Caenorhabditis elegans: one gene and its partner. The protein of the gene in region 1 purifies or fractionates together with the protein of each later gene. This does not show direct contact. Each region holds a gene or a part of one and is shown on either strand. Other genes may lie near its edges. The genes, in order: src-2 and zig-10.

Region 1 (8,143 bases):
AGCAGTTACACATTTTCCTGAAGTTTTCTTTTCTGGAGCCGTTCTCAAATTACTGCAACTTTCCAGAATTTTCCAGAAATTCGCTCTTTTTTCTCAAAAAATTTGAAAAATTTTAATAAAAAGTTTACCGATCCAATGAAAGCTTAAATCCCTAGCCTGTTAATCAAATCTAATTTGATAATGACAGCTTCATCATCCTCTCTCTCTCCCTGTCCTCTCCGCGCGCAAAAAAAGATGTTTTCCCACCAGCGCGCGGGCGCCTCCGCTGCTGTCGAAATTGCCATTTTTGTAGGTCTGCGTCTCTTGGGATCAGTATGCTACCTGCAATTGGGAGTTTAAGGCACGCGCGTTCCGCAAATGTTTGCTAAACGGCGCGGCGGAGAGAGGGAGAGAGAGAGAGAGATGCCTGACCTCGGTGGACAAATAGTGAGAGGGATGAAGAGAGAATGAGACAAAAACAGTTCCCTCTTCTTTTTCACCCCAAAGACGGTGGGCTAGCCAGCAACCGGCTAAATGAATTTCTTTCCGGCTTTTGGGTTTTTTACCTAATATTTTGTATTTTCATAGTTCTTATTATACAATTTTCGCCAAAGATAGAAAATGTAGTTTTCCTTTTAGGTCCCCCAATTTTAGATTATACTACTACTTTGGAACATAGTTTTTAGGCCTTTTTTAAAAGATTTTTTAGCTTTGGCTGAAAAACTCCTGGAACTGGGAATTTTGGCCCAGAAAATTGTGACGTCAACACGTTCTTAACCGTGCGACAACAGTTGGCGCATTTTTTGTAGATCACACCGTTATGGGACACTCTGACACCTTGTCGGAATATTGTTAGCCTAAAAAACTTTGATCCCTAAATTTTGTTGCTCACTTTATTCGAGAGAAATTTCAGTTTAAATTCTAGGCACTGAAATTATAATAGTTCTCGATTAATACTATGAGTTCCTTTCCTGCTTTATTGTAACCTTTTAGCTTGAAATTTTACTTTAAAAACTGAATTTTCTACTCTAGAAGATTGATATATTGAAAAAGTTGTAACTCATATATTATAATTTAGTGCCAATTTTACGGTCAAATTTTTTGATTTTTATTAGCTGACAACTTTTCATATTTTTCAGGATAAAATAGATATAGTAGTAGTCCAGAAAGTTATTTTTATGGCTCCTAGAAATCCATACAACTCTTTATTGGGGCTAGATGTCAAAAAGTTGTCAACTAAAAAAATGTAGCAAATTTTATGCGTAATGTATTGTTAGTTGACAACTTTTTTATATTTATTAATCTGAAGGTGTTATAGTCGATTTAATACAGCTAGTTAGTCCTAGCTTGCCCCTGAAACCCCATAACGAAGAAATATAAGAAAATTTCGCATTAAGTATTTTATTGGTTCACAAGTTTTGTGTTATTTCTTTTTTGAAACTAGTCCAAAATTATTTTTACTTGACTGATCATCTTAAAAATTTTTGCAAGTTTTCTTGGGCCCTTTTTTTTAATCGCTTACAAAGAAATGCTCCAGGCTCCTTTAAATTGTGCAGCAGACATTTATCGCTGCATTTTTCCAAATTCCCACCTAAAGTTTCGCTAAAAATGAATTTTCTGGATTTATAAACCCTGTAGCTCCCCAGCGTGTCAAGTAGTCAGAAAGTTTTTAACTGATAAAACGAAGTAAGCTTTGAAATCTACAATTTTTTAGTTGACCACTTTTTGATATATATATATCAAAAAATAGATTGACATACCAAAAAATAGATTGGCATATCAAAAAATAAATTGGCATATCAAAAAACAAATTGGCATATCAAAAAACAAATTGGCATATATATATATATATATATTTAAACGATTCATGGCAGTTTAACGCCCACACCTATTTTGCCCTGGCTCCTGGAAACCCCTATAACTATAACTTTAATTGGTGCTAGTGTCTATCAAAATGTTGTCAACTCACAAGTTGTAGTAAATTTAATTTTTTTGATCTACAATTTGCTAATTGACAATTTTAAAACGCTATATTTTGTCCAGCGAACCCTAATGAACCAGAACTATCTAAATTTCTTCCAGAACCTCCCAAATCAAAAAACTGACGACACCAGGATCGTCCGTTCCTCCCCATGGGATCCTGTATTGGAAAAGAGGATCCACCGCCTGGTGCAACGTCACCAGTCCACACGTCATCCACGTTGGGAAGGGAGTCACTGCCAAGTCATCCACGAATTCCGTCCATCGGTCCGATTGCGGCGTCTTCCAGTGGAAATACGATTGATAAAAATCAGAATATCTCGCAATCTGCGAATTTTGTCGCTTTATTCCAATATGATGCACGGACAGATGATGATTTGAGTTTTAAGAAGGATGATGTTAGTTTTTTATTTTATTTTTTGAAACTCCATATCTCATTCTTTCAGATCCTTGAAATTCTAAATGATACCCAAGGAGACTGGTGGTTCGCCAGGCACAAGGCAACTGGACGGACTGGGTATATCCCGTCGAATTATGTTGCCAGGGAGAAAAGTATCGAGTCACAGCCGTAAGTTTTTTTTTTTTTGAATTTTTAGCCAGCCTAGGGAGAGAGGCCGGACTTGAACTTGTGACCTCCAGATTGCTGGTGGTTACCACTACCTACTGAGCTATCCAGCGCCTCTTTGTTAGTTGTCACAGGGGCTTGATCAGGTGTAACTAAAACTGTCATAACTCCTTTGGCTTGTGAGATACAAAAAAATTGTCAACTAGCACATTGTAGAGCAGAAAATTTCCTACATTTTGTTAGTTTAAACTTTTTTGATAGCTAGCACCAGTGAAGAGTTATAGCACTTTAGAGGTGTCAGCGGGGAATCAGAGCAGGCGTAGAAATGGTTCAACTCTTTAAGTGTATTTTTACCGGCAAAAGTTGTCAACTGACAAAATGTTAATTGTAAAATTTACTACATTTTCGTATTTTGAACCTTTTCAGTAACTTAATGTTTGTAGAGTTACATAGCTTTAACGAAATTTTGAAAAAAATAACATTTTTACGAAACTTAGAAAAATTCCAACTCACATTAAAACCTTAAAACTCGAATAATTTTGTAGTTCACTGGTAGTAGTACCTAAAATCAAGTACTTAATATTCCCTATATTTTGTTAGTTGGCGACTTTTTAATATTATAGCTAACACCATTAAAAAGTTATAGGGATTTCTAGAAGAAATCCGTGTAGGCCTTAAAACTATGATAACTTTTTAAAATTGATTGATATCAAAAAGTTGGCAACTAGCAAACTGTAGAACATAAAATTTGCTACAATTTAATAGTTGACAACTTTTTAATAGCTTGCTTTATTGCAGAGTTACAGGGATTCAAAAAATAAGATTTTAAAAATCCGAAAATCTAAATTTTTACAAATTTCCAGGTGGTACTTTGGAAAAATGCGGCGAATCGATGCGGAAAAATGTCTATTGCACACTTTAAATGAGCACGGAGCATTTTTAGTGAGAGATTCCGAAAGTCGACAGCATGATTTATCATTATCAGGTCAGTGAACTTTTAAGGGCGCCCCATAGGGCACATGGCGGGCGAAAACCGGTTTTCTGGGAGAGATAATCAAGGTCGGATACAACAAAATGAGAAAGGCGCGGTGACAGTAAGAGGCAGAAAAGAGGTTATCCCCGCTCGCCCCGACCTTTTATGATTCCGAAAGTAATGGGAATTTGGGAGAAAGGAGGCAAATTGGGAGATTTTGATGGGTTTAGATGGGTAATTTGGGATGGGGGAATTTAGATGGAAACTGTCAAAAATAGATGGAATATACATAGATGTTTATTTAATTTTTAAAACTTTTTTTAAAAAATTCGAAAAATCATTTTCGATTTTTTTAAAAAAATTTTATTGAATTTTTTGCCAATAATTTTCTAATTTTTTAATAAATGTTTTTTGAAAAACTGATAGATTTCATTTTTTCTGAAAGTATTACAAAAAGTTTTTATCTTTATTTTCAATTTTACAATTCTGAAAAATTATAAAAAAATATGTATTTCGTGCTTTGTAGTTTGTAGTTTGTAGTTTGTAGTGTGTAGTTTGTAGTTTGTAGTTTGTAGTTTGTAGAAAACCTTTCAAAGCTCTTTTGAGAGTTACCAAAAAACGTTTTTTTGGGAATTTTGAATTTTTCAAATTTATAATATTTCAGTATTTTTTTTTCCTTTGTAACATTCCAAAAACTGTCAAAAAAAAAACAAACTCATCAAATTCCAAGTTTTCTTAAATTTGAAGATTGTAGTTTGTAGTCCAAAATCCCCCTATTAATCCCAATTTTCTTGCAGTCCGAGAGAACGACAGCGTAAAGCACTACCGTATCCGTCAACTGGACCACGGCGGGTATTTTATCGCCCGGAGGCGCCCGTTTGCCACGTTACACGACCTGATTGCACATTACCAACGAGAAGCCGATGGTCTTTGTGTGAATCTGGGAGCTCCTTGTGCCAAGTCAGAAGCCCCACAGACAACGACATTCACATATGGTAAGCTGGAAGTTTTTATGCCTGACAGGTGCCTACATCTGCCTAGATGCCTACTAGATACCTCGGTGCCTACTACATGCCTAGATACCTTTTTCATGCCTAGATACCTACGACATGCCTAGATACCTACTACGTGCCTAGATACCTACTACATACCTAGGTAACTGCTTGATGTCTAGATGCCTACTACATGTTTAGATACCAACTATATACCTAGGTAACTTATTGATGTCTAGATGCCTACCAAATGCCTTGATGCCTACTACGTGCCTATTAACCTACTACATTCCCAGATACCTACTGCATGTCTAGATACCTACTACGTGTCTAGATGCCTACCTGATACCTAGGTGCTTACTTAATGCCTAGATTCTTACCAAATGCCTAGATACCTACTACGTGCCTAGATACCTACTACTTGCCTAGATACCTACTACATACCTTGATACCTACTACATGCTTAGATACCTACTACAAACCTAGGTAAATCCAGTAGGCAAAAGGCGAACCTAATTCAGGCCAAAGTTGACTTAAAGGTAGGCAGGCATTATTGTGCCTACCTACTAGGCCAAACAATTCCAGGGACCCACAAGGCGCCCAGTTACCTTTAAAAATGTTCAAAATTCCCATTCCAGATGACCAATGGGAAGTGGACCGCCGTTCGGTTCGTCTCATTCGACAAATTGGAGCCGGGCAGTTTGGAGAGGTAAGCATCATCATTCTCTTTCGGTTGTTTGCTTATTCACGTTGCCTGCCTGCCCGCCAGCCCCACAGCCCGCCAAATAGTGTGCACAGGCTCATCCTCCTCCTCCTCCTCCTGTTGCCTATTCCGTTCGTGTTTGATGTATATTTGTGTGTGTGTGTGTGTGTGTGTGTGTGTGTGTATAGAGAATTGATGGAGAACGAGATAAACAGGAGAAGATATGCTAATTGAGTGGGGGTAAGGAGATGATCTTAGGGGAAAATTGCAGGGGGGGGGGGGGGGGGGTGGGTCCCCGATGCACCATGTGTAGCCCCAAATTACAATTGTTAGGGTAGAGCCTGAAAAATTTTAGGTTTTTTTGTAAAAAAAACCCCAAAAAATCGCATGAGCAAGAATTTTTCTTGATATTTCTAGGCGCACGGGGTTCTGGCCTTCCTTATTGATTTTTTCGCGCTCCATTGACCTGGACAACGCGTGGGAAAATCGTGCACTCCACACGGACAACTACAACAAGTTTTAAAACTAAAATCGAGCCGCGACGCGACACGCAACGCGCCGTAATTCTACCCCAGATATGGCCGATCCAAAATGGCCTTGTTCGGCAAACTCTTCCATCTCAATTTATGAGGGGAGCCAGAAATCCGTGTAGGCGCTACTTTACACTCAAAATAAAAAAAAACTGCGTGGCGTGTACTGCAGAAAACCTAATATTTAGGCCCCGCCTTTCTCTCGTCCACTTACGGAGAAACGGCAAAAATTTTGACCCCAACCAATATCAGGCCGCCAACATCTCACGGGTTCCGCGCGTCGCTGCGTTTAACTCGCAGCGGGCGGAGACAGCTCGTCACGCCCACAGCAAGTTAAACGCAGCGGCGCGCGAAACCCGTGAGATGTCGGCGGCCTGATATTGGTTAGGGTCAATATTTTTGCCTTTTCTCCGTGAGCGGACGAGAAAAAGGCGGGGCCTAAATATTAGTTTTTTATTTTGAGTGTAACTCCCAGAAACCTCTCAGCCTATGGACTAAAAAACTTCAGGCTTTTATTTTTCCGTGTTTTTCTTAATCCAGGGGCTTTTAGTGTAGATCCTAAAACAACCGGATAAAACGGTTTCCCCTTTTTCTATTGACTTTTCCATCTCCTGATCCGAGCAGCTACAGCCGCCAATATTGAAACAGATAGGACCGGTTTGAAACATGATATCACTCCCCTACAAACATCAGTTCCGCTAGGAGATCTCATAAAACGAAGGGATCTGGAACATAGAGATTTACCACTAGGGTTATAAGGAAATGTCGATGCACCATGAGTAAAAACTCAACCTCGAATATAGATAGCAAGGCCCTAAAATGAATGACAAATGTTCTCATTAGAGCGCACTTAAATTTGCAAGCATGAACGAAAATATGAGTTTTGTAAGAAATTTAATCTATGAAGCTTCAAAACCATGCGAAAAATGGCTAAACATACGAAAATTCTTACTACAGCTTACTAAAGTGTGTGTTTGAACTTTGAACTTTTTACCTAACCCCGCCCCCCCCCCCCTTATGCTTGCATGTTTAAGTGCGCTCTAGTGAGAACATTTGTCATTTTTTAATTAGAGCGCACTTGCAAATCAGCTTGCAGATCCTGGATGTACTACATAAACCATCAATTTCCAGGTATGGGAAGGCCGATGGAATGTGAACGTCCCCGTCGCTGTGAAAAAGCTAAAGGCCGGAACCGCAGATCCTACGGATTTCCTAGCCGAGGCACAGATTATGAAGAAGCTCCGGCATCCGAAGCTTCTGTCCCTGTATGCAGTCTGCACACGTGATGAGCCGATTCTTATAGTCACCGAGCTAATGCAGGAGAATCTGCTCACATTCTTACAGCGACGAGGTCGGCAGTGTCAGATGCCTCAGCTGGTGGAGATCTCGGCGCAGGTGAGGTTCACGTTCGGATTCCTCGAAATTAAAAAAAAATTTCAAAAAAAGTTTTGCAGGTTGCCGCTGGAATGGCCTACCTAGAGGAGATGAATTTCATCCATCGAGACCTAGCAGCACGAAACATCCTTATCAACAACTCCCTATCTGTAAAAATCGCAGATTTCGGGTTAGCCAGGATATTGATGAAGGAGAACGAGTACGAAGCAAGAACCGGAGCACGGTTTCCGATAAAATGGACGGCGCCCGAGGCGGCGAACTATAATCGATTCACAACCAAGTCGGATGTCTGGAGTTTTGGAATCCTGCTCACCGAGATTGTCACGTTCGGACGGTTACCCTATCCAGGTGAGGATTTGAACCGACCCGTTTGATCTACACGAATTGCGGAAATTTAGGCGCAGACTTTTCAACTGATTTCGCATGGTTAAGAGTGTGCTGACGTCACCATTTTCTGGGAGAAAAATTCCCGCATTTTTTGTAGATCAAGCCGCAATGAGACAGCCTGACACAACGTAAGATGGTCTCATTGCCGCATGACCTCCAGAAGTGGCGGGAATTTGAATTAAAAATTTTGACGTCATATGAGCTTTTTTGAAAACTAACATCCCGCCTTTTATTGAGGTCAAATTATTTTTTTTACAAAATGGTACCAGTTCGCTAATTATAAAAATTAAGTCCCTTATTGAAGGGGCCTTGAAAATTTCGCAAAACTTTGGGAATAGGTCGCGTCAACTAAAATGTGGAATATTCCTGCGCCCTTCGCCGTTTGATCTCCGGGAATCGCGGAAAATTCAAATTTTGAAAAATGCGATGTAGCCTAAGTTTTACTGTAGAACGTGGTGTCAGAGTGTCCCATTTCGGTTTGATCTACGTAGATCTACAAAAAATGCGCGGAGTTGAGACGCAGAGTTCTAAAGTGATTTTTAGAACGAAAAACTCCCGCATTTTTTGTTGATCAAACCGTGTAGTACCCCAGAAACACGCCACACATTTCAAAAAAGAAATTTCCCGCCATTTCCGGAG
Region 2 (4,948 bases), on another chromosome or scaffold:
GGTATTCGACTCTTCATTTTCCTTGGACACACACACATTTGTCTAATTAGCTTCCAGTAGGATGCCCGAGTTGTTTGGCGGAGAGACTCACTCCGGAGAAGAAAAAGAAAAAAGAACATTTCATTTTCTTGCACGCCACTCAGCGATGCTCACTTTTTTTTGGCTTTCCGTGACAGCTCCAGATTTCCTTTTCCTTTGTTTTTGTTTTTTGTTTCACGACTCGATTTGAACTTGACTCGATTTTAGTTCTTTTGGATATAGATTTACAATAATTGATTTATGTACAGTCTTCAATTAAAATCGTTTTGAAAATTACTCTTCATTACGAAAAACTCAAACTCGAACCTAAAAAGGTGAAGCAAAATTCCCATAATTTTGATTTAAGAGGTTTTAAATCGCACTTGCTGCTACTTTTTCTTTAAAATTTTATATGTTTCTGCTTTGTTCAAGAAAATAATAATGTTTCAATGCCAAAAAAGTTTTACCTATTGCTACAAACACCTATTTTTGCGCAAAAAATATTGCATTCCAACAAAAATCAGATTATGACATTATAACACAACAAACATTTTCATGACTACTCTACTATTTTTTTGGATATATTTGGTTTGGAAATCTTGTTTGTTTATTTTTAGTTTTCTCTCATTTTTTAATTGTTCAGCTGTTTTCCATGAATTTACTATTTTTTCAGAATCTGTTCTATTTTCAATTTCAAGCAAATTTTTCGAAAAACCTTTCTCGATACATCTATCACGCTTTCTATTCGTTTTTCATCCATCTTTTTTGGAAGCTTCATTCCAAAAATCCTATTAACATATCCGGCGCATCAAGTACGAAAAGTGTGGAACATGCTTTCTCTAAACCTCTCATTCTCACACACTATTCTCATACTTACCATTCGACTTTTGCCTCCTCCGTTTTATGATGTACTAATGTAATGGTTTATTACTGTATGCTTAGTAGATATATACATGCTTCCTCACTCATTTTTATCTTCTTTTTTCTCCCAAATCTACTGATATTATAGGCATTTTATTATACCAGAATTCATGTTTGAAAACTTGAAAAGGTGAAAAAAAAAGAAAAAAGCTCGCAACAATTGTTTGTTTTCTCAACTATTCAATTCTATTAGATATCCTTCCGAACTTTTCCGTTAGGTAAACATAAAAATTATGAAAAAGAATAAGGATTATACTTACCTTTCTAGAAGAATCTGGACCTCTCAAATATCATGGCTTTAGGAGTTTAAAAAGAAATATCAAAAAAGTTGTCATTTTGAGTCTACCTACGTTGAAATTTTCTTGAAAAAGTTACAATAAAATTAAAAATCAAACGGTCAAAATCCAAGTTTTTTCCATTATGGTAGGTAGGAACGGCTCCTAGCTTTTTTTGTTGGTAGGCATATATATGGCATTCATGCATTATTATGCTTATGTGGACAGATAGAGACTATTTCGCTGGGCCATTTTTGCCGAAAATGTATTATTTTTTGTGTTAAATGGGTTGTTGTCCGTTCCCACACACTAATCTTCTTGGAAAATATCTTTAAAATATTCTAATGAATGCTCCAATGTCCTAATGGAAAACACCCTCATAAACGAATTCCTTCCTCCAGTTGGAGGGTGTTTTTAAAATTTTGTCTTCCACTTACTGTAAACATTGTAAAAAGAAGTAATATCAAAACAAATACACATCGCTTTTTATGGTTTTCATTTTATATATTTTTTGGATAATAGTGTCAAATTCCAAATGTTACAAGAGTACCTCCATGCCCATCTGATTAGCATCTTTCTTTGTTCGCCGATGACAGATGACCGAATATGGGACCCGTCGTTCTCAGATTTCTCAGATTTCGAACGGCGATCTCTTGACACGTACCGTATTCAACTTTTCTCCCTTATTTCCAACGTATTGTCTTCTTTTTAATTATAAATATCCTGCTCTACTTATTATTTTTATAATTTGTAAATTTACAGGAAATGGGCCATTTTCCACACTATCTGGTATTGCTCTTGATCCTCATGATTGCATTATCTGGTTGGTTTTATTTTTACCGTCAACCGGCTTTCCATATTTTTGCCTCCAAAAGGCTTAATTGACGAGATGCAAGAGACGGAGTTAAATCGCTTTGACACCCTATAATTTTCGGATTCTCGCGCATGCGCTAATGGACGCTCAAAAACATATTGCTTTGACAGACTGGAGTGAGATACATCTCTAATTGCCCAACGAATGAGGCTTTTTTGAAAGTTTTAGCGGAAATAGTTTTATATGGAAAAGATGTTTTCTTTAGAAAATATTTTAAAAAATTAAAAAATTTTCTGATTGTACGAGAGACTAGATTGGGAAGAAATCATTTTAAATCAATTAAATGGTATGGTTTTTTGGTAAGAAAATGATAGTATGGATTTTTAAATGTTGTTTTAACTGTAAAACATGAAAATTATTCGGTTTTTGACATACATAAATTGTTGAGTATGAGGTTCAAATTACAATATTTCAAAGTTTTGCATTAAAAATAGTAGAATTTCAAACATGTAACTAAACTCTAAATTTCTCCAACATCCAGATATGAGACTGCTAAATGTTTGACTGAAAATATTGATTAATCTTAAACATTTTTAGTTTTACTAGAATATTATTTCGAAAAATTGAGAAAAACTACACACAGTTCACTTTTTGATACCGGAGAAGCTTATGAAGGATATGATACTAGATCCCATAAAAAGGCGACAACCTCATCCTTCTTTCTCCCACATGTCGCCAGTCGGCACCGTCCATAAAACATAAAATGCTTGTATTTGTGACCTGTGAGGCGCCACGCATTCTCATTTAAGTGTCCATTTCGTAACTTTCTCCTTTCTTTCAGAAACAATTCACACTTTGGCCCCAAAAAAGGCGCCAACCGAGCGGTTAGTACCCATTGGATCGACAACTGCACTGGAGTGTGAACCATATACATCTTCAAATGTCACTTGGTATCGTGATAAACATGTCATTGCAACAGTTGAGGGACATAAGAATGCAATACTGAATGAGAGGAAGCCACGTGGAGGAGAAGAAAGGATACCTGAAATTGGATTTCTAGTGATTTTCGATGTTCAAAAAGAAGATGAAGGAAATTATTACTGTCAACGAGAAAATGATTCGAAATGGGGAGAAGTGTTCCAGTTGAAAATTGCATATGTTGATGAAATATCACAAAATGAAAAAATAAAGTTGGAGCCAAATGTGCCAACACTTGGAAGGTCTTTGGTACTACATTGTCCGATTCCAAAAGCATATCCGCCTCCGAAAGTTACGTGGACAGTGGTAAGTAGTAATGGTTTAGTCCTAGAGTTGGCAAGCCGGACTGAAACAAATTTCCATTATCTTAAATTTGGAAATCGATGAAAAAAGTATTTCCAAATTATTTTATATCCTTCAGATGTTCAAAAATACAATATTTCCAAAAACCTAAAAAAGTAATCATAATTTGTTTTCATCCGAAACACATTGAATTTAGTTTCTAAAATGAAAAGGAAAGTTATAGTTAATTAACTATCCTTAAAGAATATTTTTCAGAACTCGCTTCCAATATCACACATATCGTCTGATTATGTGGCATTTCCCAATGGAACACTCATCATATCACACTTCTCATATCATCACTTTGGTTATTTTGAATGCAATATAAACAATTTTGCTGGTCACGCTTCTACGAATACATTCATTGATTCTAGAGAATTGGTAGCGAATCTAGGTAAACTCCCCTCTTAAATGTCGTGCAACTATTGTTTTCAGAATCTTTAAAACCAACATTTGTGAATGGATGCTCTGCAGCTCTTCGTAGCTCTCTCTTTATGTTCCTTCTTGGATGCCTTATCACATCTGGTGCAGTTCTAATTTATCTCATTTGTGCTGTGTGTCTACTAAAACCAGGACGACCTCGTCGAGTACTTCGTCCAACTTTTTGGTCGAGAACAGATCCTCGGTTAGCTCCTGGATTCCGAAAAGCTGTTGTTCCTCTTCCAGATTGTTTTGTAAACGCCCGAATGTTAACTCCTCCAGTTCAAAATCCATTGATTACATAGATTTTCGATTTTATTATACTTTCGAATTTAGAAACTTGTAGTCCGATCTTTCTGTACATCCAGTGTTGCCACGTTCAAACTTTTCAGGGATTCAATTGTTTAGTTTTGTATCATTTTCAATGTATTTCAATCAACGGGTCATTCTACATGTAATAGTTTTTTCTTCAATTTTTATATCAATATATCAATAAATTTAAACTTTAAAGTTAAAATTGGTTGAAAATGAATATTACTGACTTGCGAAACGACAGGAACTTTGAAAAAATTTTTAACCTCGATGAACTTCACGGCAACGGCAGAGGTAGAACAACGGATTATCCACAGAATACGACGGATATTTAAAAAATGTCTAAAATTTATCTCACAATGGAGTTCCGGATCTATTACAGAAACCATTATTAGCTGTGAACAAAAATATACAAATTTAATGTTAATATCTCATTTTCAAAATACTTACTTCCGTTTAGCAATAATTTAGATAAATGACTGTCATACTATTATATAAAGCATTGTTTCCTGACAAGAATTAGTAATTTAAAATTATTGTCATGTTTACTCTTGCTAAAATCTTTAAATTACATTTATAAAGTTAATTCGTTCTATATCGGTCTAAAAAATAACACACCTTGAAACTGTTTAAGGTGGAAATTGCAAGAAAAATATATATTAGTATTTCAAGATATGATGCTGAAATTTGGGCACTTCTTTCCTTTTTGTTGATAGCATATTGTGGTGACACTTTCAGCTTTCCAAATAGACCTGTTTGTATTGGAATTGTCCTGCAAAAATATTCTAACAAGTTTCAATTCAAGGAAAAATCAAGTTCATTATATCCATACTCTATTTATTCAAAGTTAATCTGTTGTTCTACCTCT

What was found.
Region 2: the proteins of src-2 (region 1) and zig-10 purify together in Caenorhabditis elegans (affinity purification with western blotting, with the first as the bait; one study listed by BioGRID). This does not show direct contact.

What each region holds. Positions count from the first base shown.
Region 1 is NC_003279.8:14,320,176-14,328,318, forward strand, and holds the start of src-2 (Tyrosine protein-kinase src-2), read left to right. Parts: upstream 1-2,061; 5' UTR 2,062-2,111; coding exon 2,112-2,357; intron 2,358-2,405; coding exon 2,406-2,527; intron 2,528-3,387; coding exon 3,388-3,509; intron 3,510-4,294; coding exon 4,295-4,492; intron 4,493-5,127; coding exon 5,128-5,198; intron 5,199-6,853; coding exon 6,854-7,117; intron 7,118-7,176; coding exon 7,177-7,465; intron 7,466-8,143. UniProt on the Caenorhabditis elegans protein: Non-receptor tyrosine-protein kinase which may play a role in larval and pharynx development. Unlike src-1, does not play a role in embryonic development.
Region 2 is NC_003280.10:6,396,730-6,401,677, forward strand, and holds zig-10 (Ig-like domain-containing protein), read left to right. Parts: upstream 1-1,976; 5' UTR 1,977-1,979; coding exon 1,980-2,037; intron 2,038-2,700; exon of another isoform or gene 2,701-2,831; intron 2,832-2,869; coding exon 2,870-3,312; intron 3,313-3,564; coding exon 3,565-3,742; intron 3,743-3,783; coding exon 3,784-4,073; 3' UTR 4,074-4,274; downstream 4,275-4,948.